3 linked regions of the Pelodiscus sinensis genome follow. The protein of the gene in region 1 purifies or fractionates together with the protein of each later gene. This does not show direct contact. Links are inferred from orthologs where the notes say so. Each region holds a gene or a part of one and is shown in the gene's direction. Other genes may lie near its edges.

Region 1 (7,385 bases):
GTTTATTAGAAATTGTGCAGTTTTTGTAAAGTGTAAATATTTGGGTACAAAAGCTAAACTTAAAGCATATAGCTGGATAAAAATCAGATAGTTGAGAGAACATTGGAATATTTTAGAAATAGTATTTTGCATAACAATAAAGCGCCTCTTAATTTGAAACAGTAAATATTATGCTAAGAAAATTGCACTATTTTTTTTTCAGGGAAATACAGAATATTGCTTGTATTGTGTGTGTTCTAAGGACATGTTGCTGATCTCCACTTATTTTTGTCCTGTCAATTTCATTCTTCCCCATATCTGTCTTGTACATTATTCTGCATATGTATCTGGAGCAGCAGCTTTGAGGTCCGTTTCCCGTCCTCTCTCCGCTCCCCCTCTCTTCCTAAAAATCTTGACATGTTAAGATAAATTGGGTGCAGAACATATAATGAACAAGGAAGCTCAAATTAATCTCTGCCACTTATCTGTATGGCAGAGTATAACATAATTTAAAAACTATGCAGATTATGGTGTAACTGCCTTCTGTTTGTGTATGGTTTATAAAAAAAATAGGTTTTCTGACAGTTTGACAATTGTACAGATTGGATCAAACAGGTGTAGAATCTCTTTCAACAGTGTGGAAGATTTAAGAAAATCTAGTTTTACTTTGTAAATACTACATGATAAGCCTATTGTTCAATACAATGAAAAGTATTAAAGGCATTTGTTTTCATTTCATATATACAATTCATTTATATTGCCAATACAGTTTATACTGCATATTTTTATATGGCTAGAGCTGAAATTCATTGAAAACCTGTAAGTTAGCTATATGTTCCCTTGGATTCTTTGTGAAGACAGTAATTTAGAATAAAACACTTGTTTTTAATTCTATTAAAATAGCAATCTTAAATACAAAACTGAACCTTTCTGATTTTTTGAAGCTTCTATTCATTCTAGCAGATGTGCACCTTTTAATCTTAACATGACTCTGGATATAGGAATGAAACCTATGATTGATATTAATACATAGCTTTTTCTGTTTGTTTTAAACTGCATGTTTAGCTCCTGATTTTGTGGTTCACTGCATGCTGGTGAACACTGGAGCTCTGTCTGGACACAGCAGTGGATTGTAGAATTGGGTCCTACACAGCAATTGGTTCAGTTTCTTAGCCAAGGTAGTTAGGAGAGACCAGCCAAACTCTTAGTTTAGGGAGGGTGAATGAGATGAAAGTTTTTAGGCATTTTTAAGAACAATGTTGGACAGTCTTTTATTGTTGTGTGTTTCTGCACCATGGTGCCTGCCAAAATGACTTCAGCAAATCTCCATTGTGAGGAAATCCCCTTCTTCCTCACCTCAGAAAAATTCTTTTCTTTTACATCAGACAGGGTTTAGATATAAAAGATGAACAAGCTGCACATACGTATCCTGTGTTACTACCGTGATCACCCATGCCAGCTCCAAAATGTTAGTTTCCTTCTCCCATTCCTATTTGCATGCTATTTCAAAGGAGTGTGGGCAATACGTTTCATAGGGGAGGTGACTTAATGAATTTTGGTATGTGGTTATGGGCCTGCTCCACCCAGGAAGGGGCAGGACTTGAGGTGGAAGGGGGTGTGGCTGGGGACTATTCTTCCCCAGAGTTGTCTAGGCCAGAGGCTTTGAATTAAAAACACACAAAGGGCATGTGCCTCCTCCACTAGGGTGTTGTCTGGCAGCTGCCATGGGTTGCTGTGGCTCTGTCCCCTGCCAGGAGCCATATAAATAGGATTCTGCTGCCTGAGCCACTGCTTGTAAATTTGATGACGTGGGCTGCAAGATATAAATAGAAAGTGGCCAGATGCAATCTGCTGGTCGGATCGAAGTGTTAGGTGGACCACACATTGCCCAGCCCGGGCCTAGAATGAGCACCCAGTTCCGTTATGTCAAGTCCCAACTTCTCCTTATTCATAGCTCTTCTAAAAATTCACTTTTTGCCCTTGTTGCACATTCTTGTAACATCATGTTACAGGTATACCGATTATAAAACTCCCTTATTGTTCTATGAAACCTGTCTTTTAGGACAGTTAACTCTTCAAGGCAGACTCTTGCTTTTGTACAGCACGGCAGAGCACATTGTCATTGATCAACAAAACATTATTTACAAATAACCAGAATTCTAAAAATGTGGGGTTTTTAAGCTGCATGGTACGTAGCAAAACATTGTAACAGTTCAGACATAGCAGATGCGGTCTCTAGCACATTTGTAATTCTTTGTAATCAAATAATACAACTGCATGTATGAGTGAAAGAAAAAGGTTTCATGTTGATGTCTGGATTTTTATGCATCTATCTTGCTAGAGAGATTTTATACTTTTCAGCCAATTTGGTTATTAAATCAATTTATCTTTCACATAATTGGCATAGTAACTCAGATTTGCTAATTACTAAAGATGCTATTGTTTAAAGCAGTGTTTCTCAACTAGTGGTACAAGTACCCTTAGAAGTACTTGCGAGAAGCCTGGGGGGGCGGGGGTATGTCAACACCACTGATATTGGGAACTGAATTTTAAGCTTTATTATTTTTGTACTTTTTACACCCAAAAATGTCATCGCCCACCCAGCTACAATTAAGTTGTTTAAACAAATGTATTGCAATGGTAGAAAAAAAAAGTGTTTGAAAACTTTAGGTACTTGGGGTACTTAGAATTTTTTGTAAGAGATATTTTATAATAAAAAAAAAAAAGGTTGAGAAACACTGGTAAAAGTGTGTGCTCCTTAAAAATAGATGTAAAATTTGAGAGCATCTCAAACTCCAGTTGATAAAGTTTATAAGCCTTATTCTTTTTTATTGACATTGGGAGGCTACTTGGAGAAAATGTTATGCACTCAAACTTTTTAAACAGATTCCTTAGAATACTTGCTAAATGAAATGTACTGCTGCCATTAGTGAACATCTTTTTATCAGTCCTAATTCTTCTTTACAGGAAGAACTGGCTGTACCCGTTCTTTTATTGTAATCTGCTTGATAATCAAAACCATGCCACCAGTTCAGTGGTTCCCAAACTTTTTGGCATCACACCCTCCTTTTTGATTTCTGAAAAACCCTTATGCCCCCCCCAAACAGCAGCAAAAAAAAAAAAAAAAAGGAACTGAGAGGGGGAATTTGATAGCCTTCAACTTCCTGAAGGGAGGTTCCAAAGAGGATGGAGAAAGGCTGTTCTCAGTAGTGACAGATGGCAGAACAAGGAGCAATGGTCTCAAAGTTGTGGTGGGAAAAGTCCAGGTTGGATATTAGGAAAAACTATTTCACTAGGAGGGTGGTGAAGCACTGGAATGGGTTACCTAGGGAAGTAGTGGAGTCTCCATCCCTAGAGGTGTTTAAGTCTCGGCTTGACAAAGCCCTGGCCTGGTTGATTTAGTTGGAATTGGTCCTGTCTAGAGCAGGGGGCTGGACTCGGTGACCTTCTGAGGTCTCTTCCAGCTCTATGGTTCTATGATTCTAACTGACCAGGGCAGCAAAACGTGATTGGGGGGGAGGAGGGAGGCTGGGTTGCCTTGCGCCCTCCTGGACTTTCTTCACGCCCCCCCCAGTTTGGGAACCCATGAGTTACAGACTAGGAGATCAATATACTGATCTAAAGCGTGGTATACTTCCCCTCCACAATAGCAAAAGGATCAAAGTAAAAAAACCCATCTTTTGGGTTGTCATCCAGCTGTACCACATTCCTCAAACTCCCCATAGTTAAAACTCGCTGACATGTTGGGAGGAGGCTACAGTAGAAATAATAAAAAGCCTGTGGACTATCCCTTCCAGGGGGAGGTTAGTTACATTACAAAATAAATCCTCTTCTGAAAGTGAGATACATGACCACGCGGAGAGGGGTTTCTCTCCAAACACAAAGGAGCCTGTTTCCTTTCCTAATCCGATCCCTGCATTCCAAGGGAAGTGCTGAAGCCCTCTCTGGTGGGTACCCGGCCTGAGGGCAGTGCTGCTGTGCTAGCCCAGTGCTTCCCACACTTTTTGGCATCACCGCCCCTTTTTGATTTCTGAACCCCCCCCCCCCAAAATAGCAGCAACACTTGTTGAGCAAAAAAGGGGGGGGGGGACAGCAAAGCTGGATGGGGGCGGGCTGGGTCGCCTGGCGCCCCCCTGGAGTTTCTTGACCCCCCCTTTGGAACCCCACGTTCTCCCCCCTCAGGCGGGGCGTGCCGCCTCCCTGCCCCGTGGGGGGCCCAGTCCGGCTCGGCGAGGCCAAGCCCCCGCCCCAGGCCTGCCCGGCTGCGCGCCCTCAGCTCGCGGGGGGGCGTTGGACACGGAGGGGGGGCTCCCCCCTGCGAGGCCAGGCTCCGGCGGCCCCGTGTGAGGGGAGGGGGGGCGTCCGGGCCGCTCCCCGCCCTCTGGGCGCCGCGGAGGCCTGTGGGTAAGCGCCGCCGCCAGGTGACAGTTCCTGGGCCCGGCGGATCGCGGCGGGGCGATGGAGCGGCCGGCGGCGGGGCCGGCCCTGGAGGGCCTCGGCGGGGCGGCCCGCAGGTCCGTGCGGCCGGCAGGGCCGGGGGGCGCCGCCGCGGGCCCCCGCCAGCCCAGCGTGGAGACCTTGGACAGGTGGGTGAGCAGCCCCCCCGCGACCCGCCCGCAGCTCCCCCGGCTCCTCCCCCGCGCTGGGCTCCTGGGGCGGCTCCTTCCCCTCAGCGGCCCGGGCGGGGTAGCGCCTAGAGACGACCCCCCCCCCCGCCAGTCAGTGCAGAGGTGGTGGGGTCTCCTCATGGGGGGGGGGGTTCTGTGGGGCGAGCGAGGGGCCCGGCGTCACCTCCCCCCCCCCGACTGTGGGGACCCCCTTCCCGCAGGGGCGCTCGATATCGGTGAGGCGCGAGGAGGCGACCCTCCTGAATTCTTATCGGTTACCCCCCTGTTCCGGCGGTAGAGCCCGCGGGCTCCGGCCCCGCTCCGGAGGGGCCCCCCGTCGTGCTGATGGAGGTGCCAGGCGGGAGCTGGTCCCAGCGGGGAGCCGGTTCAAAAACCAGCTCCCCTCCGGGACCGGCTGCCTGTCGCCCTGCGCGGCTGCCTCGGATGCAGCGGCAGCAGCGCACGGTGGTAGCAATCTCTGTCCAGCGGGAGGGGAGAGCTGAACTCCTGGATCTGGCGTGTGCCGGAACTGACTCCGGTTGCCTGGCTCCTAATATACTTTAAATGCAGAGCCGCAGCGGGGGTAGGTCTGGGACCCAGCTTGAGCCAAGACTAAGCCAGACTGCTGACCAGCCTGCTGAAAAATGTACTGATGGGGGAGGGGGGAAATGCATGTAGTCTATAGCATTAACCGATAAGGTTTTGCTTATCAGTTAATCGACTACACTGTTACATCCCTACTTCCGGGACAGGGTCATTTTGCGAATGGCGCTTGCCTACCTAGAATGTACAGGATGTGCCGATTGAACCGTAGCAGCGCTTTGATTGGATGCAGAGGGAACACACAGCTCTCACAGACTATGCTGTGTGCAATCAGCACACGCCTGACTTCATGTGCCCTTGCTTTACGGGCTTGTAGCTTTAGTAATACATGTAGGAAAAACCTACATGGCTAGAAACCGATGGAATCTGACAACCTTGTGCATGATCAGTGATAAACAAAATGTCTCATGGGCCGCACGTAGAACCCTGATGGGCTGCATACAGCCTGTGGGCCACTGGTTGTCCACCATTGGCAAAGCTTTAGTGGGTAAAATCCACTTTAGCAGATGCATGTGAAGAAGTGGGTTTTCGCCCACGAAAGCTCATGCTCAAATAAATCTGTTCATTTTTAAGGTGCCACAGGACATTTTGTTGTTTTTGCCAAATGATTGAAACTGTTGTTTTACACCACTGTAGCTTTATGCAGTGCTCCGTGCAGCAGGTTGCATTTGTGACATAAATGTGGAGATTGGAATTGTAACCTCAAACAAATGGAAAACTATCCAATTTGAGTGATGTACTTCATGCCTTAAAAAATGGGGGAAAATTATTACATAACTTACCTTAGGTAAGTGATATCTGAGAGAGCTTTTAAAAGCTCTAATACATATGCATGCTACATCAATATGAACAAATCTAGTATGCACAAACTGATAGGTAACCTTATGGGAGCCGTGTGAGTAGCTGGAATCAAGCAAAAAAAAAAAAAAAAAAAAAAAGCCCCCCAAACCAATAATTGCTTTGTGTTGGTTTTACGCTGTGGTAATGGTTGTCTCTCTTTTTCTTCTCCTTCCACCTTGACACATGCTTGATGGGCTTGGAATTGCAGGCAAGACTGATTTCTGGATAAAATACAGTAGTGGATTGCTTGAGATCAGACTGTTTTGTGAAGTGCATGTTGTTTGTGTTAAATTAGCAGTGTTTTATTTACATAGGGGAAGTGAGAAGCATCTTCTTTTTTTTCAGGCACTTATACATTTCTTCCCAATATGTTTTTGGGTTGAAGTTCCTCCCGCTTCTATCTTACCAAAGAAGAATTTTCTTGCAAATGTAACATTTCCTTTATCAGTTAGCATTATCAGAACATGTGAGGAAATTATCTTTTAACTGTTTAGGATGGCAATTTGGGATTTAGATAATTCAAAAGTTGGTTATTTAAAAATATTTACCTATAGTGTTCAAAGTAATTTTGTTTAGAAATACAAAGATAATTATATTCCTTTGATACTAGAGTGAGGCTGGGAGAAGGCATGTTATGCATATGTGAAGAACAGTATCGTGGTACCAATAGTGAACCTTGCAGTTCCTGGCATTAAGAGGGGAGGCTTTTATGTACAACTGCTTGAATATCAAAGCAAGCCTTGACTGTGCTTGTAGAGCGTCTCCTCCCTCCTGTCATAGCAACATTCAGCATTGCTATGATTCATAAGAGTATAAGAACGGCCATACTGGTCAGACGAGTGGTTTGTCTAGCTCAGTATCCTGTTCTCTGCTAGTAGCCAATGCCAGATACGTCTGAGGGAATGAACAGAACAGTTAATCATCAAGTAATTTATCCTGTGCCACCCATTCCCAGCTTCAGCATGCTTTTACAGTCATGCCCATCCTGGGTAATAGCTATCGATGGATCTATCTTCTTTGAACCTATCTAAGGTTTGTGGGGTTTTTTTTGTTTTTTTTTAAACCCTCTTCTAGTTTTGGCCTTTACAACATCTTCTGACAAAGAGTTTCACAGGTTGACTGTGTGTTGTGTAAAGAAATATTTCCTTTTGTTTGTTTTAAATGTGCTGTCTGCCCATTAATTTATTTGGTGACCCCAGTTCTTAAATTATGAAGAGTAAATAACACTTTATTTATTTATTTATTTTATTCCAGTCATGATTTTATAGACCTCTGCCATATCCCCATTAGTTGTCTCTTTCCAAGCTGAAACATCCCAACCTTATTAATCTCTCCTGGTATGGAAGCTGTGTCATA
Region 2 (7,882 bases), on another chromosome or scaffold:
TTATAAATCAGCCTAACTTGGGATTGAAACTCGGCACTCACTTTATCAATCTGGGTAGTTTCTGAAAAGGGCTGGGACAGGTAAAGCTGATTTTAGTTCTAACGTGAAAACTTTCTGATTTCATATGCTTGTTTTCTGAATTCACATGCTTGTGTCCTATTAAAGTGACTTAGAAGTTGAACTAAAGATATGAAAGTAAGTATACACACACACACAAAGAGTTTAAACGTGAGCTGTAAGCACTGGGTTTGTACACAGAGTGATAGTGCCTTTTTTATTTTGAAAATGATTTCTTAAATAGACAAGTTACTTGCACGTCATAAAAAACAGAGACAGGAAGTTCCTTGTAAGTACTGTATTATTTATAATATATTTTGGAGGCAACATAATTAAATACAATAGAAAATATTATTTTTTCCTATGATATGTCCATTCTCCCATAAGTACTATTGTTAATTGGGAAACTCGCTGGTCTGGAGGAAGGAGTTCTAGACTGCATATTATGACATATGCAGTTTTAATCTGTTACTGACTTGCTGTTGACCTTGGGCAACTCACTTCAACTTCTCTGTATCTCAGTTTTCCTGTATGTACAATTGGATTAACAGTATATGCCTTCTTTGCAGGGAGATAGTGAGGATTAGTGTGTGTTCGTACAGCACTTTGAATAGGTAAAGTGCTAAGTAGCATTATTGTCCTGAGACTTTCTCTAAAATTTCTGTGCATCAATGGGAAGATAGAGTTTTGGCCAAATTCCACATGACTTATGCAAGAAAATTTCCCCTTAAAGTCAGTGGATGCAAGGAGTATGGAAGCTGCCACTTAAGTATGGCTTGATGTTACTATGATTAAATTTAAATGCAAATTGTTATATTACATATTAAAGTGGCTTTGAAGTTGAACTAAAGATATTAATGTACGTATTCTATACTAAGTAGTGTGTAAAATCCCAGCCAAAATCAAAGTGAAGAACTCTTATTTTTAGGTTTATTGCTTTTCAGTTAATCAAGGCAAACATATTCAAAAGTGACTAGTGATAGTAGGTGCCTTGAATTTTAGGTGCCTAACAAGAGATAATGGCATCTGGTTTTCACAAAGTGGTGAGAATCCAAAAATTGAGGCACCCAAATATCTTTAGAGACTTTTGAAAATGTAGGGCCTGGGACTTCTCCATAATATTCAACATCTGGAATGTCCCATCTATAATGTAAGTCCACCCAATGTCCTGAGAACTCTTTTTCATATCCAGGAAGAACAGGATGAGTTTCTCTCCCTCCCAAGGAGGAAATATGATCTCAGTATTGAGGAGTTGGACAGGGAGTCAGTAAAATTAGTTTCAATTCTTCCCTCTCCTATAGATTTCCTCTATGACCTCAGGCAAGTATCTAATCTTATCTATCTAGTCCCTTGTCCTCATTTGCAGTGGGTACTATTACTGGATGATACAGATATACAGAGGGTTACTCCATAAATATTTGGGAGATGGTCAGATACTATGATGATGGTGACCATCCAGGTAGTTTAGTTCAAGGTGAGTTAAAATTAAGATGTGCTTTTTCTTTTGATTGACTGTTTTTAAGTCATGCCACTCTGTGCTGTGATCCCACTAGATTTTGCAAGCTAACCAAGGTTTGGCTTTGTCTGTTTGGATGGGAGAGGCATAAATAGTGAGGTACTGTTAGTAGCAGTGTTGGTGAAATCCTCAGTATATTTTTTTCTCTTAGGTGCACACTGAATTAATTATCCCAGTAAAGTCCTATGTAACACTGACCTGCTTTGAGGTGTGCTCTCAAATGAAGTGCAGAAGTAGAGGTTCCCAAATTTGTTTTGATAAAATAATTCCAGGGCATTTTTTTGTAAAAGTAGAAATGTTAATCCAAAACTCCTAGTCAAATTCCAAACTTGGTGATTATATTCTGTCTGTATGAGCTTCCCCTGCAGTTTCAATTGTACAGAATACTATTCTGTCACTGTTGAAAGCTGCTCTGTATTCTTGTTGAGCATGGTCAAACAATTGCTGTGTTTCACTTTAGTGGGGACTCATTGATCCCAATTCACACAGATGATTGATTAACTAAAGCATACCTTTTTTGCTATTTCAGCAATATTTTTCTTCCAAAGATCTCAAACTAGTAAAAGGATACTATTTTAAGACTTTTTATCCCTACATTTTTTAAACAGCTCTTTTGGTTTCAGTCATTAAAATCCATGAGGACGATACTGCTAAAATCTTGCACGCTACTTTTAAAATGTATCATTTAAATTTTTTCTTGCTTCTCTAATGCTCAGGGAGAAGCAAAATAATCTAATCAGATCCCCAAAAGTTCTTTTTCTCTAAGAAGTTATGTAATATTACAGATTCGTCTTATACTGTTGTCTTTTTTACTGACACTTACACTGCATTTTATTAAGTCTAAATCTTGCTACATGATATTGGAATGATTAATTGCCATAAATAATATAAGCTGCTGCCCTCTGCTGGAAAGTAAACAAGCAGGAGGATTTTAATCATCCATACAATTGTGTTCTATATTAGAAAAGTGTTGCTTCTAATTATACCTCTTCTGAATGTAAAGTGTAGTTATTCAATATCTGACATATGAAAATAAAGTTCATAAATAAAATATGTTTGTTACTGTATTCCATATTCTGATTTATGGTGGTGTGATTAGAAATAAATCCAGTGGTAACGTAACTGAACTGAACAATGATTCATATCACTTACTGCTGCAGATCCAACTATCCTGCTGTTGAACATGCCTATTTTGGGCATACACTCAACCAGTTAATCAAGCAATGTCTTGTCAGACACACTACATTTCAGCAAAATCTTTGCATCACCCAGTAGGCCAATTAGGCTTTGGGGTAAGATCAAAAGTTGTCAGTCCTACTTACACACTATAAATAGCATCCTGGAATCTTCCACTTAACAGTAAATGAGCTCTGTAGGCTCTTGAAGAATAGCATTTTGCTAAGGTGTCACAGAAATGGGTAAGCAGAAGATCAAAAATATTAAATTAAAGAGATACTGCCCATGAGTCACACCTTCCTGATGAGGATTTAAAGTGATAACTACTTGATTTTTTCCTCCTTGGGTGCTAGTGCCTAAGCTGTACTCCACATGGAAAGTGACATATGTGGGAGAGGAAAGCACAGTTGGAAAACCTGTTAATAAATATGTACGGAAACAGGATTTCAGGGTACATCAAGATTTCAATCCAATATGGTTAATAGCATTTAGGCCAGGCCTAGTCAGGCAGCCTGTTCTCTCTTTCTCTTTCTCTTTCTCTTTCTCTGGGAGCATCTACACAACTGGGTTTAACTCCAAATAAGCTACACAAATTGAGCAACATCAATTGTGTAGCTTATTTTGAAATAGCTTATCTCGAAATTGGGAGTGTCTACACAGTACTTATTCTGAAATAAAGCACTCCTCCTACGATTTCCCTTACTCCTTGTGGAATGAGGGTTACAGGAGTTGGAGTAAGAAGTCCTCCAGCTTGACAGTATTTTGGCCATTATTTTGAAATAACGGCCTGTTGTGTACACACGGACTGTTATTTCAAAATAATGTTGCTGAGTATACGTACCCTCTCTTCCCCTCTCTCTCTCTCTCTCTCTGGCTATGTCTATACTGCACTGTTCTTCTAGAAAAACTTTTCTACTTCTTTTTTCGGAAGAGGCTTTTCTGACAGTTGGCCCATCTACACCGGGCCAAATGTCAGAGCCCCCCCCCCCTTTTTGGAACATCCCTTCTTCCTCATAAAACAAAGTTTACAGGGATGCCAAAAAAGCGTGTGTGCTCTTCCGAAAAAAAATTCGGAAAAGCAGATGCATTCCCTGGACGCAGCAGAGTTTGGTATCCTGGAAAAACTCTGCAGTGTAGACATAGCCTTTCTCTCTTATACACACAGACTTTCTCCCAGATTTCCCTGCTGACTTTATTGCTAGAGATAAGTCAGTTTAAGCATAACAGTCATATAGTTACTAGAAAAAACTTAAAGGTCTTGGTGAATGCTGTGCCATTATAACTGCACTCAGTTAAGGAAAGCTTGCTTCCTGCCGCACTGTTGCATGTTCCTAACATCCAAAAGAAAATGTAAACAGGAAACTTCCTGGAAATTCATAGTCACTATAAATTCCATTCTTGAGAAGCTACTCAGGGAGGCTATTTTAAGGCAATACTGTGATAGTTCCTATTAAGGCGTTTATTTGGCATAGACTGAATTTATACATGCATCTGCAAAATATTATATAAAACAAAGAGGACGATGTGCTTCACTGCACATTTCATAACAGAAAAAAATCCGAACCCCATATTTAGGTGTTGAATTCGGTCAGGGAGGATATTTTAGAAAGACCCTTAGCTACCTTTTTTGTAGTTTTCATGAGCTAAACTAAAAATGCGTCAATAAATATAAATAGGAGGAAAGAACAATGTTGTCTTGTTGCAGTCTTTATCAGATTATGGAGCATAATCTTTGGGTGGGAATTTTGGAGAGAGACATGACTGGTTTTGCATGCACTAGAAGTGCACGGGTAAACTACCTGCCTGCAACCCTTTGAAATAGGAAGAAGCCAAGCTCAAGTTCAAGCGCCGAGACCAAGCACGTTTATTTTGGGAGAGAGCTTTACATATGCACTGGTCTGCTCGTGCCGCGTGTACTCGCAAATGCAAACAGGGTGGGAAGCCGCTGCACCCCGCCACAGCCTGTGTGAAATTGACAATAGCCTCAACAGAGCCCCGCAGCACCGCGCCGCGTGCGAACTGTAAACCCCGCAGCCCACGCCCAGCCCAGGCCGGGTCATAGCACAGCGGCTGAGGTAGCGCGCAGGCGCATAATGCGCCTGGGCGTCCAACATGGCTGAGGTGCTGCTCTTGTTGGAGCAGGGGGCAGGATGCTGAGCGTCCGAGCGGCAACAGAGCCTCAGTAGTGGCGGGGGCCGAGGCGGGCCCGGCTCGGCCATGGCTAGGCTGGCTGACTATTTCATTGTGGTGGGCTATGGCCACGAGAAGCCAGGTAGGTGTGGCGGTGTGTAACGCTGCCGCCCCGCGCGGGGCTGGCCTCCCTTGCCAGCCCTGCTGTCACGCTGGCACCCAGGAGAGGAGGCGGTGGGGCCGCGCGTGCCAGAGGCTGTTGGGGGAGAGGGGCGAACTGGCGGGCAACGCTACAGTTTTTGTGCAGGTGGTTGGTGGAGTCAGGCGGTTGCTTTCATGAAGGGGGTTCGTGGCTTGCCAGTGGCGGGATGGGGGATTCTTCTCCTCCGGCGGAGCCAGGCAGGCAGGTTTGCCTCAGAACCTTCCCAGAGCACGGACACGTGCGGAGTGGCTATCGCAGTCTGTCAGTGAAAATAGAAATACACCAGTAACCCCCCCCCCCCCCCCAAGCTCCTGTCATATCCTGAGCTAATCATGAATGACGCAGGGGAATGGTCATTGTCAGGACTAGGAAGAGGTCTGATCCCGGCACTAATTTCACATAGTGGATGCAGGCTTTTGTGCTATATAGAAGCCATCTTGATCATTTGGATGAGGGAAATTATGAAAAAGAGACTTTAAATGGCTCATAATTTTCATCATATAAACCATCAGAGGGGTAGCTGTGTTAGTCTGTATCTTTAAAAACGTGTAGTCCTTTGGCACCTTAGAGACTAACAAATATATTAGCTTTTGTTTATTAAAACAGCCATTTTTAACAACATTTATTAAAAATGTTAGCTTAACCTGAATCCCCAGATAGAATTCTTGTTTGTTATTTTATGAGGTGTATTCACTGTAAGGAATAATATTTTTATTGTTCCTTTCTCCTACCTCTGTGTGTGTGTGTGTGCGCGTGTGTGTGTGTGTGTGTGTGTGTTGTGTGTTAAATGTTTTGTTTAGCAGAATAGTAAAGATAATACTAAAAGAAAGTTGGCTAAGTCAACAGGGATCTCCCCGGAAAACGACTGGGTTTATTGTCCTTGTTTGGGGACAAACAATTGTTAGTTATCACTTGCTGGAATGCCATTGCTGATATAGTGCAGATGACAATATGGAATTTTGTAGACTCTGTTAGGTTGCATCTGTTATAGAATTGTCACAACAAAGATGTTTTTGCTTCCCTCTGGTCAGAAGACAGGGAGAAACATTAGTTATGTTCTGTGTACAACCTTGCAGGCAAAGAAAAATCATATTTTGCTAATTAAATGAAATATATATTTTTCTCTCTATCATATTTGTCAATAATGACATGACATCACTTGTTTATGGATATTGCTGAAGGAGCTTTCAACTTTTATACTGCAGTATTTTACACTTTCAATTCAGTTGTCCACTGGTACACAAATACATACAGACTTGCCTTTCAGTGGATACTTTAGGGCGATCATTTAATAAGCTATTGTAATTAAGATGGATTTTAAATGATTAAGTGTTTTTTTAAATACCCAAAGCCACATCTAACAAACCCTATTTAAATCTTGTATTTGAGTCTGTATTAATAGATTCTCTAAAGGTAGTACTTAATCCATAGTTTATTTTATGTATTTTCAAAATATACATAGTAAGAGATTAGCATCTTTTTTCTTTAACATACAAATAAAATCTATTAATCATATGTATAAGATTGAAAGGCTTATATAAAAATCTGTCAATAAAAGATTTGGTGTCCTTTCTAGAATTCACACCATAATTGGGTCCTTCCATTATAACATATATATCGTCTTTTCTAATCCCAATGTGAAATTATAGATTTACAAAGCACTGTGAAGTGAAAATAGGGTGCAAGAAGCAAAGGGCAATAGAGTGGAAGATACAAGATATAGATTGCTTTTTACTAAAGGGATGCTGTCAACTTTGATATATTTGCTATATGAAGTAAATTGACTGATCAAACTTGGACAAATATCTGTAAAACCTGAGTGTTCAAACACTTAAGCATATGCATTATTCCGTTCACATCTTATTGACTTCTGGACTGCTACCTTGTGTGAAGTTCTAAATGTGCATAAGCGTTTCCAGGATGGGGCCTTAATCTGAAGAGTTTGTCTCCTGAAATAGTTTAAGCGACGAGGAGTCCTGTGGCACCTTATAGACTAACTGAAGTGTAGGAGCATAAGCTTTCGTGGGCAAAGACCCACTTCGTCAGATGCATGTAGAGGAAATTTCCAGAGGCAGGTATAAATATGCAGGCCAGGATCAGGCTGGAGATGACGAGGTGGATCCAATCAAGGAGGATGAGATGAGGCCCACTTCTAGCAGCTGATCTGGAGGTGTGAATTTCAAGAGAGCAGAAGCTGCTTTTGTAGTTAGCAAGCCATTCACAGTCTTTGTTTAATCCAGAGTTGATTGTGTCAAACTTAAAGATGAACTGTAGCTCAGCAGTTTCTCTTTGAAGTCTGGTCCTGAAGTTTTTTTGCTGCAGGATGGCTACTTTTAGATCTGCAATTGTGTGTCCAGGAAGACTGAAGTGTTCCCCTACAGGTTTTTGTATGTTGCCATTCCTAATATCAGATTTGTATCCATTGATTCTTTTACGTAGGGACTGTCCTGTTTGGCCGATGTATATAGCAGTGGGGCATTGTTGGCACATGATGGCATATATTACGTTGGTGGATGTGCAGGAGAATGTACCAGTGACAATGTCCTGCACATCCACCAACGTAATATATGCCATCATGTGCCAACAATGCCCCACTGCTATATACATCGGCCAAACAGGACAGTCAACACAATCAACTCTGGATTAAACAAAGACTGTGAATGGCTTGCTAACTACAAAAGCAGCTTCTGCTCTCTTGGAATTCACACCTCCAGATCAGCTGCTAGAAGTGGGCCTCATCTCATCCTCCTTGATTGGATCCACCTCGTCATCTCCAGCCTGATCCTGGCCTGCATATTTAT
Region 3 (6,971 bases), on another chromosome or scaffold:
GCCTGGCCGGGGGGGGGGCGATGGGGTAACAGTAACACCCCTGCAGTACAGCCTGGCCGGGGGGGGGGGGCGATGGGGTAACAGTAACACCCCTGCGGTACAGCCTGGCCGGGGGAGGGCGATGGGGTAACAGTAACACCCCTGCGGTACAGCCTGGCCGGGGGGGGCGATGGGGTAACAGTAACACCCCTGCGGTACAGCCTGGCCGGGGGGGGCGATGGGGTAACAGTAACACCCCTGCGGTACAGCCTGGCCGGGGGGGGCGATGGGGTAACAGTAACACCCCTGCGGTACAGCCTGGCCGGGGGGGCGATGGGGTAACAGTAACACCCCTGCGGTACAGCCTGGCCGGGGGGGGGGGCGATGGGGTAACAGTAACACCCCTGCGGTACAGCCTGGCCCAGGGGGGCGATGGGGTAACAGTAACACCCCTGCGGTACAGCCTGGCCGGGGGAGGGCGATGGGGTAACAGTAACACCCCTGCGGTACAGCCTGGCCGGGGGGGGCGATGGGGGTAACAGTAACACCCCTGCGGTACAGCCCGGCCGGGGGGGGCGATGGGGTAACAGTAACACCCCTGCGGTACAGCCTGGCCGGGGGGGGGGGCGATGGGGTAACAGTAACACCCCTGCGGTACAGCCTGGCCGGGGGGGGGGCGATGGGGTAACAGTAACACCCCTGCGGTACAGCCTGGCCGGGGGGGGGGCGATGGGATAACAGTAACACCCCTGCGGTACAGCCTGGCCGGGGGGGGGGCGATGGGGTAACAGTAACACCCCTGCGGTACAGCCCGGCCGGGGGGGGCGATGGGGTAACAGTAACACCCCTGCGGTACAGCCTGGCCGGGGGGGGGCGATGGGGTAACAGTAACACCCCTGCGGTACAGCCTGGCCGGGGGGGGCGATGGGGTAACAGTAACACCCCCGCAGTACAGCCTGGCCGGGGGGGCGATGGGGTAACAGTAACACCCCTGCGGTACAGCCTGGCCGGGGGGGGGGCGATGGGGTAACAGTAACACCCCTGCGGTACAGCCCGGCCGGGGGGGGCGATGGGGTAACAGTAACACCCCTGCGGTACAGCCTGGCCGGGGGGGCGATGGGGTAACAGTAACACCCCTGCGGTACAGCCTGGCCGGGGGGGGGGGCGATGGGGTAACAGTAACACCCCTGCGGTACAGCCTGGCCGGGGGGGGCGATGGGGTAACAGTAACACCCCTGCGGTACAGCCCGGCCGGGGGGGGGCGATGGGGTAACAGTAACACCCCTGCGGTACAGCCTGGCCGGGGGGGCGATGGGGTAACAGTAACACCCCTGCAGTACAGCCTGGCCGGGGGGGGGGCGATGGGGTAACAGTAACACCCCTGCAGTACAGCCTGGCCGGGGGGGGGGGGCGATGGGGTAACAGTAACACCCCTGCGGTACAGCCTGGCCGGGGGGGGCGATGGGGTAACAGTAACACCCCTGCGGTACAGCCCGGCCGGGGGGGGGCGATGGGGTAACAGTAACACCCCTGCGGTACAGCCTGGCCGGGGGGGCGATGGGGTAACAGTAACACCCCTGCAGTACAGCCTGGCCGGGGGGGGGGGCGATGGGGTAACAGTAACACCCCTGCAGTACAGCCTGGCCGGGGGGGGGGGGCGATGGGGTAACAGTAACACCCCTGCGGTACAGCCTGGCCGGGGGGGGGGGCGATGGGGTAACAGTAACACCCCTGCAGTACAGCCTGGCCGGGGGGGGGGCGATGGGGTAACAGTAACACCCCTGCGGTACAGCCTGGCCGGGGGGGGGCGATGGGGTAACAGTAACACCCCTGCAGTACAGCCTGGCCGGGGGGGGGGGCGATGGGGTAACAGTAACACCCCTGCGGTACAGCCTGGCCGGGGGGGGGCGATGGGGTAACAGTAACACCCCTGCGGTACAGCCTGGCCGGGGGAGGGCGATGGGGTAACAGTAACACCCCTGCGGTACAGCCTGGCCGGGGGGGGGGGCGATGGGGTAACAGTAACACCCCTGCGGTACAGCCTGGCCGGGGGGGGGGCGATGGGGTAACAGTAACACCCCTGCAGTACAGCCTGGCCGGGGGGGGGGGCGATGGGGTAACAGTAACACCCCTGCAGTACAGCCTGGCCGGGGGGGCGATGGGGTAACAGTAACACCCCTGCGGTACAGCCTGGCCGGGGGGGGGGGCGATGGGGTAACAGTAACACCCCTGCGGTACAGCCTGGCCGGGGGGGGCGATGGGGTAACAGTAACACCCCTGCGGTACAGCCTGGCCGGGGGGGGCGATGGGGTAACAGTAACACCCCCGCGGTACAGCCTGGCCGGGGGGGGGCGATGGGGTAACAGTAACACCCCCGCGGTACAGCCTGGCCGGGGGGGGGCGATGGGGTAACAGTAACACCCCTGCGGTACAGCCTGGCCGGGGGGGGCGATGGGGTAACAGTAACACCCCCGCGGTACAGCCTGGCCGGGGGGGGGCGATGGGGTAACAGTAACACCCCTGCGGTACAGCCTGGCCGGGGGGGGCGATGGGGTAACAGTAACACCCCCGCGGTACAGCCTGGCCGGGGGGGGGCGATGGGGTAACAGTAACACCCCTGCGGTACAGCCTGGCCGGGGGGGGCGATGGGGTAACAGTAACACCCCCGCGGTACAGCCTGGCCGGGGGGGGCGATGGGGTAACAGTAACACCCCTGCGGTACAGCCTGGCCGGGGGGGGGGGGCGATGGGGTAACAGTAACACCCCTGCGGTACAGCCTGGCCGGGGGGGGCGATGGGGTAACAGTAACACCCCTGCGGTACAGCCTGGCCGGGGGGGGGGCGATGGGGTAACAGTAACACCCCTACGGTACAGCCTGGCCGGGGGGGCGATGGGGTAACAGTAACACCCCTGCGGTACAGCCTGGCCGGGGGGGGGCGATGGGGTAACAGTAACACCCCTGCGGTACAGCCTGGCCGGGGGGGGGCGATGGGGTAACAGTAACACCCCTACGGTACAGCCTGGCCGGGGGGGCGATGGGGTAACAGTAACACCCCTGCGGTACAGCCTGGCCGGGGGGGCGATGGGGTAACAGTAACACCCCTGCGGTACAGCCTGGCCGGGGGGGGGCGATGGGGTAACAGTAACACCCCTGCAGTACAGCCTGGCCGGGGGGGGCGATGGGGTAACAGTAACACCCCTGCGGTACAGCCTGGCCGGGGGGGGGCGATGGGGTAACAGTAACACCCCTGCGGTACAGCCTGGCCGGGGGGGGGCGATGGGGTAACAGTAACACCCCTGCGGTACAGCCTGGCCGGGGGGGGCGATGGGGTAACAGTAACACCCCTGCGGTACAGCCTGGCCGGGGGGGGGCGATGGGGTAACAGTAACACCCCCGCGGTACAGCCTGGCCGGGGGGGGGCGATGGGGTAACAGTAACACCCCTGCAGTACAGCCTGGCCGGGGGGGGGGCGATGGGGTAACTCCCCTCCCACATGGTACAGGCCGGCCGAGAGGGGTCTCTGGGGTAACTCCCCTCCCACATGGTACAGGCCGGCCGAGAGGGGTCTCTGGGGTAACACCCCTCCCACATGGTACAGGCCGGCCGAGAGGGGTCTCTGGGGTAACTCCCCTCCCACATGGTACAGGCCGGCCGAGAGGGGTCTCTGGGGTAACACCCCTCCCACATGGTACAGGCCGGCCGAGAGGGGTCTCTGGGGTAACACCCCTCCCACATGGTACAGGCCGGCCGAGAGGGGGCTCTGGGGTAACACCCCTCCCACATGGTACAGGCCGGCCGAGAGGGGTCAATCGCGCCCCCTCCCAGCTGGTCCCGCCCCCGCCGCGTGGCGGCCAATGGCCGGTCCCCCGCCCTCAGCCCCGCCCCGCGCATGCGCCCGCGGTCCGTGCGGGCTGGGTCCGGCGGAGGGAAGATGGCGGCTGGGGCTCGGCGCCGCCGGGCGGGCTCTGACGTGGGGGCGGCCGGGGCGGCCGGGCTATGAGCCGCGCGGCCCCGCCCCAGCGCCCGCGTCTCGCCGCTGCCGGCCCGGCCCGGCCTCGCCATGGCCCGCCTGGCGGATTACTTCGTGCTGGTGGGCTACGAGCTGGACAAGCGGGGTGAGCGCGGGCCGGGCCGGGGGGGGGGGGGGGAGACAGAGTGTGTGTGTGTGGGGGGGAGTGTGTGTGTGGGGGGGAGTGTGTGTGGGGGGGGGCAGAGTGTGTGTGTGGGGGGGAGTGTGTGTGGGGGGCAGAGTGTGTGTGTGGGGGGCAGAGTGTGTGTGGGGGGGGGCAGAGTGTGTGTGTGGGGGGGAGTGTGTGTGGGGGGGAGTGTGTGTGTGGGGGGGGGCAGAGTGTGTGTGTGGGGGGCAGAGTGTGTGTGGGGGGGGGCAGAGTGTGTGTGTGGGGGGGAGTGTGTGTGGGGGGCAGAGTGTGTGTGGGGGGGGGCAGAGTGTGTGTGTGGGGGGGAGTGTGTGTGGGGGGGAGTGTGTGTGGGGGGGGCAGAGTGTGTGTGTGGGGGGGAGTGTGTGTGGGGGGGGCAGAGTGTGTGTGTGTGGGGGGGCAGAGTGTGTGTGTGTGGGGGGGGCAGAGTGTGTGTGTGTGGGGGGGGCAGAGTGTGTGTGGGGGGGGCAGAGTGTGTGTGGGGGGGGCAGAGTGTGTGTGGGGGGGGCAGAGTGTGTGTGGGGGGGGCAGAGTGTGGGGGGGGCAGAGTGTGTGTGTGTGGGGGGGGCAGAGTGTGTGGGGGGGGGGGCAGAGTGTGTGTGGGGGGGGCAGTGTGTGTGTGTGTGGGGGGCAGAGTGTGTGTGTGGGGGGGCAGTGTGTGTGTGTGGGGGGGCAGTGTGTGTGTGTGTGGGGGGGGCAGAGTGTGTGTGGGGGGGGCAGAGTGTGTGTGGGGGGGGCAGAGTGTGTGTGTGGGGGGGAGTGTGTGGGGGGGGCAGAGTGTGTGTGTGTGGGGGGGGCAGAGTGTGTGGGGGGGGGGGCAGAGTGTGTGTGGGGGGGGCAGAGTGTGTGTGTGTGGGGGGCAGAGTGTGTGTGTGGGGGGGCAGAGTGTGTGTGTGGGGGGCAGAGTGTGTGTGTGGGGGGGAGTGTGTGTGTGGGGGGGAGTGTGTGTGGGGGGGGGCAGAGTGTGTGGGGGGGGGGGCAGAGTGTGTGTGGGGGGGGCAGAGTGTGTGTGTGTGGGGGGCAGAGTGTGTGTGTGGGGGGGCAGAGTGTGTGTGTGGGGGGCAGAGTGTGTGTGTGGGGGGGAGTGTGTGTGTGGGGGGGAGTGTGTGTGGGGGGGGGCAGAGTGTGTGTGGGGGGGGGGGCAGAGTGTGTGTGTGGGGGGGGGAGTGTGTGTGTGGGGGGGGGAGTGTGTGTGTGTGTGGGGGGGAGTGTGTGTGGGGGGGGGCAGAGTGTGTGTGTGGGGGGGAGTGTGTGTGGGGGGCAGAGTGTGTGTGTGGGGGGCAGAGTGTGTGTGTGGGGGGGAGTGTGTGTGGGGGGGGCAGAGTGTGTGTGTGTGGGGGGGGCAGAGTGTGTGTGTGTGGGGGGGCAGAGTGTGTGTGTGTGGGGGGGGCAGAGTGTGTGTGTGTGGGGGGGGCAGAGTGTGTGTGTGTGGGGGGGGCAGAGTGTGTGTGTGTGGGGGGGGCAGAGTGTGTGTGTGTGGGGGGGGCAGTGTGTGTGTGTGTGGGGGGCAGAGTGTGTGTGTGGGGGGGCAGTGTGTGTGTGTGGGGGGGCAGTGTGTGTGTGTGTGGGGGGGGCGGAGTGGTGTTGCCAGGCTGGGCAGGTAAATTGATGCCTGGGCTGTGGTGAGGGTGGGTGGGTGGGTGTGGGGGCGATGGGCCGGCTGGGGAGCGGGTGCTACCCGGGCTGTGGTGAGGGTGGGTGGGTGGGTGTGGGGGCGATGGGCCGGCTGGGGAGCGGGTGCTACCCGGGCTGTGGTGAGGGTGGGTGGGTGAGTGGGTGTGGGGGCGATGGGCCGGCTGGGGAGCGGGTGCTACCCGGGCTGTGGTGAGGGTGGGTGGGTGAGTGGGTGTGGGGGCGATGGGCCGGCTGGGGAGGGGGTGCTACCCGGGCTGTGGTGAGGGTGGGTGGGTGAGTGTGGGGGCGATGGGCCGGCTGGAGAGCGGGTGCTACCCGGGCTGTGGTGAGGGTGGGTGGGTGGGTGAGTGTGGGGGCGATGGGCCGGCTGGGGAGGGGGTGCTACCCGGGCTGTGGTGAGGGTGGGTGGGTGGGTGTGGGGGCGATGGGCCGGCTGGGGAGGGGGTGCTACCCGGGCTGTGGTGAGGGTGGGTGGGTGAGTGTGGGGGCGATGGGCCGGCTGGAGAGCGGGTGCTACCCGGGCTGTGGTGAGGGTGGGTGGGTGGGTGAGTGTGGGGGCGATGGGCCGGCTGGGGAGGGGGTGCTACCCGGGCTGTGGTGAGGGTGGGTGGGTGGGTGTGGGGGCGATGGGCCGGCTGGGGAGGGGGTGCTACCCGGGCTGTGGTGAGGGTGGGTGGGTGAGTGTGGGGGCGATGGGTCGGCTGGGGAGCGGGTGCTACCCGGGCTGTGGTGAGGGTGGGTGGGTGAGTGTGGGGGCGATGGGCCGGCTAGGGAGCGGGTGCTACCCGGGCTGTGGTGAGGGTGGGTGGGTGAGTGTGGGGGCGATGGGCCGGCTGGGGAGGGGGTGCTACCCGGGCTGTGGTGAGGGTGGGTGGGTGAGTGTGGGGGCGATGGGCCGGCTGGGGAGCGGGTGCTGCCCGGGCTGTGGTGAGGGTGGGCGGGTGGGTGAGTGTGGGGGCGATGGGCCGGCTGGGGACGGGGTGCTGCCTGCGGTGGGGTGGGTGAGTGCGATGGCTGAGAGGATGAGGTGGGCTGGCTGTGGGGGTTGCTGTTAGGGATGTGGTGGAGGTAGGGAGTGCGGGGGGCTGCGCTCCTTGCCATGGGACAGTGAATGCAGATGGGCCCTGGCCATCAGGGGCCAGGTGTGGAAGAGGATGAGCCTGTGGGTGGGTCTGGTTCATGGGAAGAAGCAGGCACTA

The links.
Region 2: the proteins of MTMR1 (region 1) and SBF2 purify together in Homo sapiens (affinity purification with mass spectrometry; 3 studies listed by BioGRID and IntAct, with this or other methods). This does not show direct contact. The link is inferred for Pelodiscus sinensis from reciprocal best matches to the Homo sapiens genes MTMR1 and SBF2.
Region 3: the proteins of MTMR1 (region 1) and SBF1 purify together in Homo sapiens (affinity purification with mass spectrometry; 4 studies listed by BioGRID and IntAct, with this or other methods). This does not show direct contact. The link is inferred for Pelodiscus sinensis from reciprocal best matches to the Homo sapiens genes MTMR1 and SBF1.

What each region holds. Positions count from the first base shown.
Region 1 is NC_134723.1:42,197,601-42,204,985, forward strand, and holds the start of MTMR1 (phosphatidylinositol-3-phosphate phosphatase MTMR1), read left to right. Parts: upstream 1-4,295; 5' UTR 4,296-4,437; coding exon 4,438-4,565; intron 4,566-7,385. UniProt on the Homo sapiens protein: Lipid phosphatase that specifically dephosphorylates the D-3 position of phosphatidylinositol 3-phosphate, generating phosphatidylinositol. Could also dephosphorylate phosphatidylinositol 3,5-bisphosphate to produce phosphatidylinositol 5-phosphate.
Region 2 is NC_134714.1:105,401,482-105,409,363, forward strand, and holds the start of SBF2 (myotubularin-related protein 13), read left to right. Parts: upstream 1-4,817; 5' UTR 4,818-4,966; coding exon 4,967-5,021; intron 5,022-7,882. UniProt on the Homo sapiens protein: Guanine nucleotide exchange factor (GEF) which activates RAB21 and possibly RAB28. Promotes the exchange of GDP to GTP, converting inactive GDP-bound Rab proteins into their active GTP-bound form.
Region 3 is NC_134711.1:939,137-946,107, reverse strand, and holds the start of SBF1 (myotubularin-related protein 5), read left to right. Parts: upstream 1-3,877; 5' UTR 3,878-4,040; coding exon 4,041-4,095; intron 4,096-6,971. UniProt on the Homo sapiens protein: Acts as an adapter for the phosphatase MTMR2 to regulate MTMR2 catalytic activity and subcellular location. Promotes the exchange of GDP to GTP, converting inactive GDP-bound Rab proteins into their active GTP-bound form.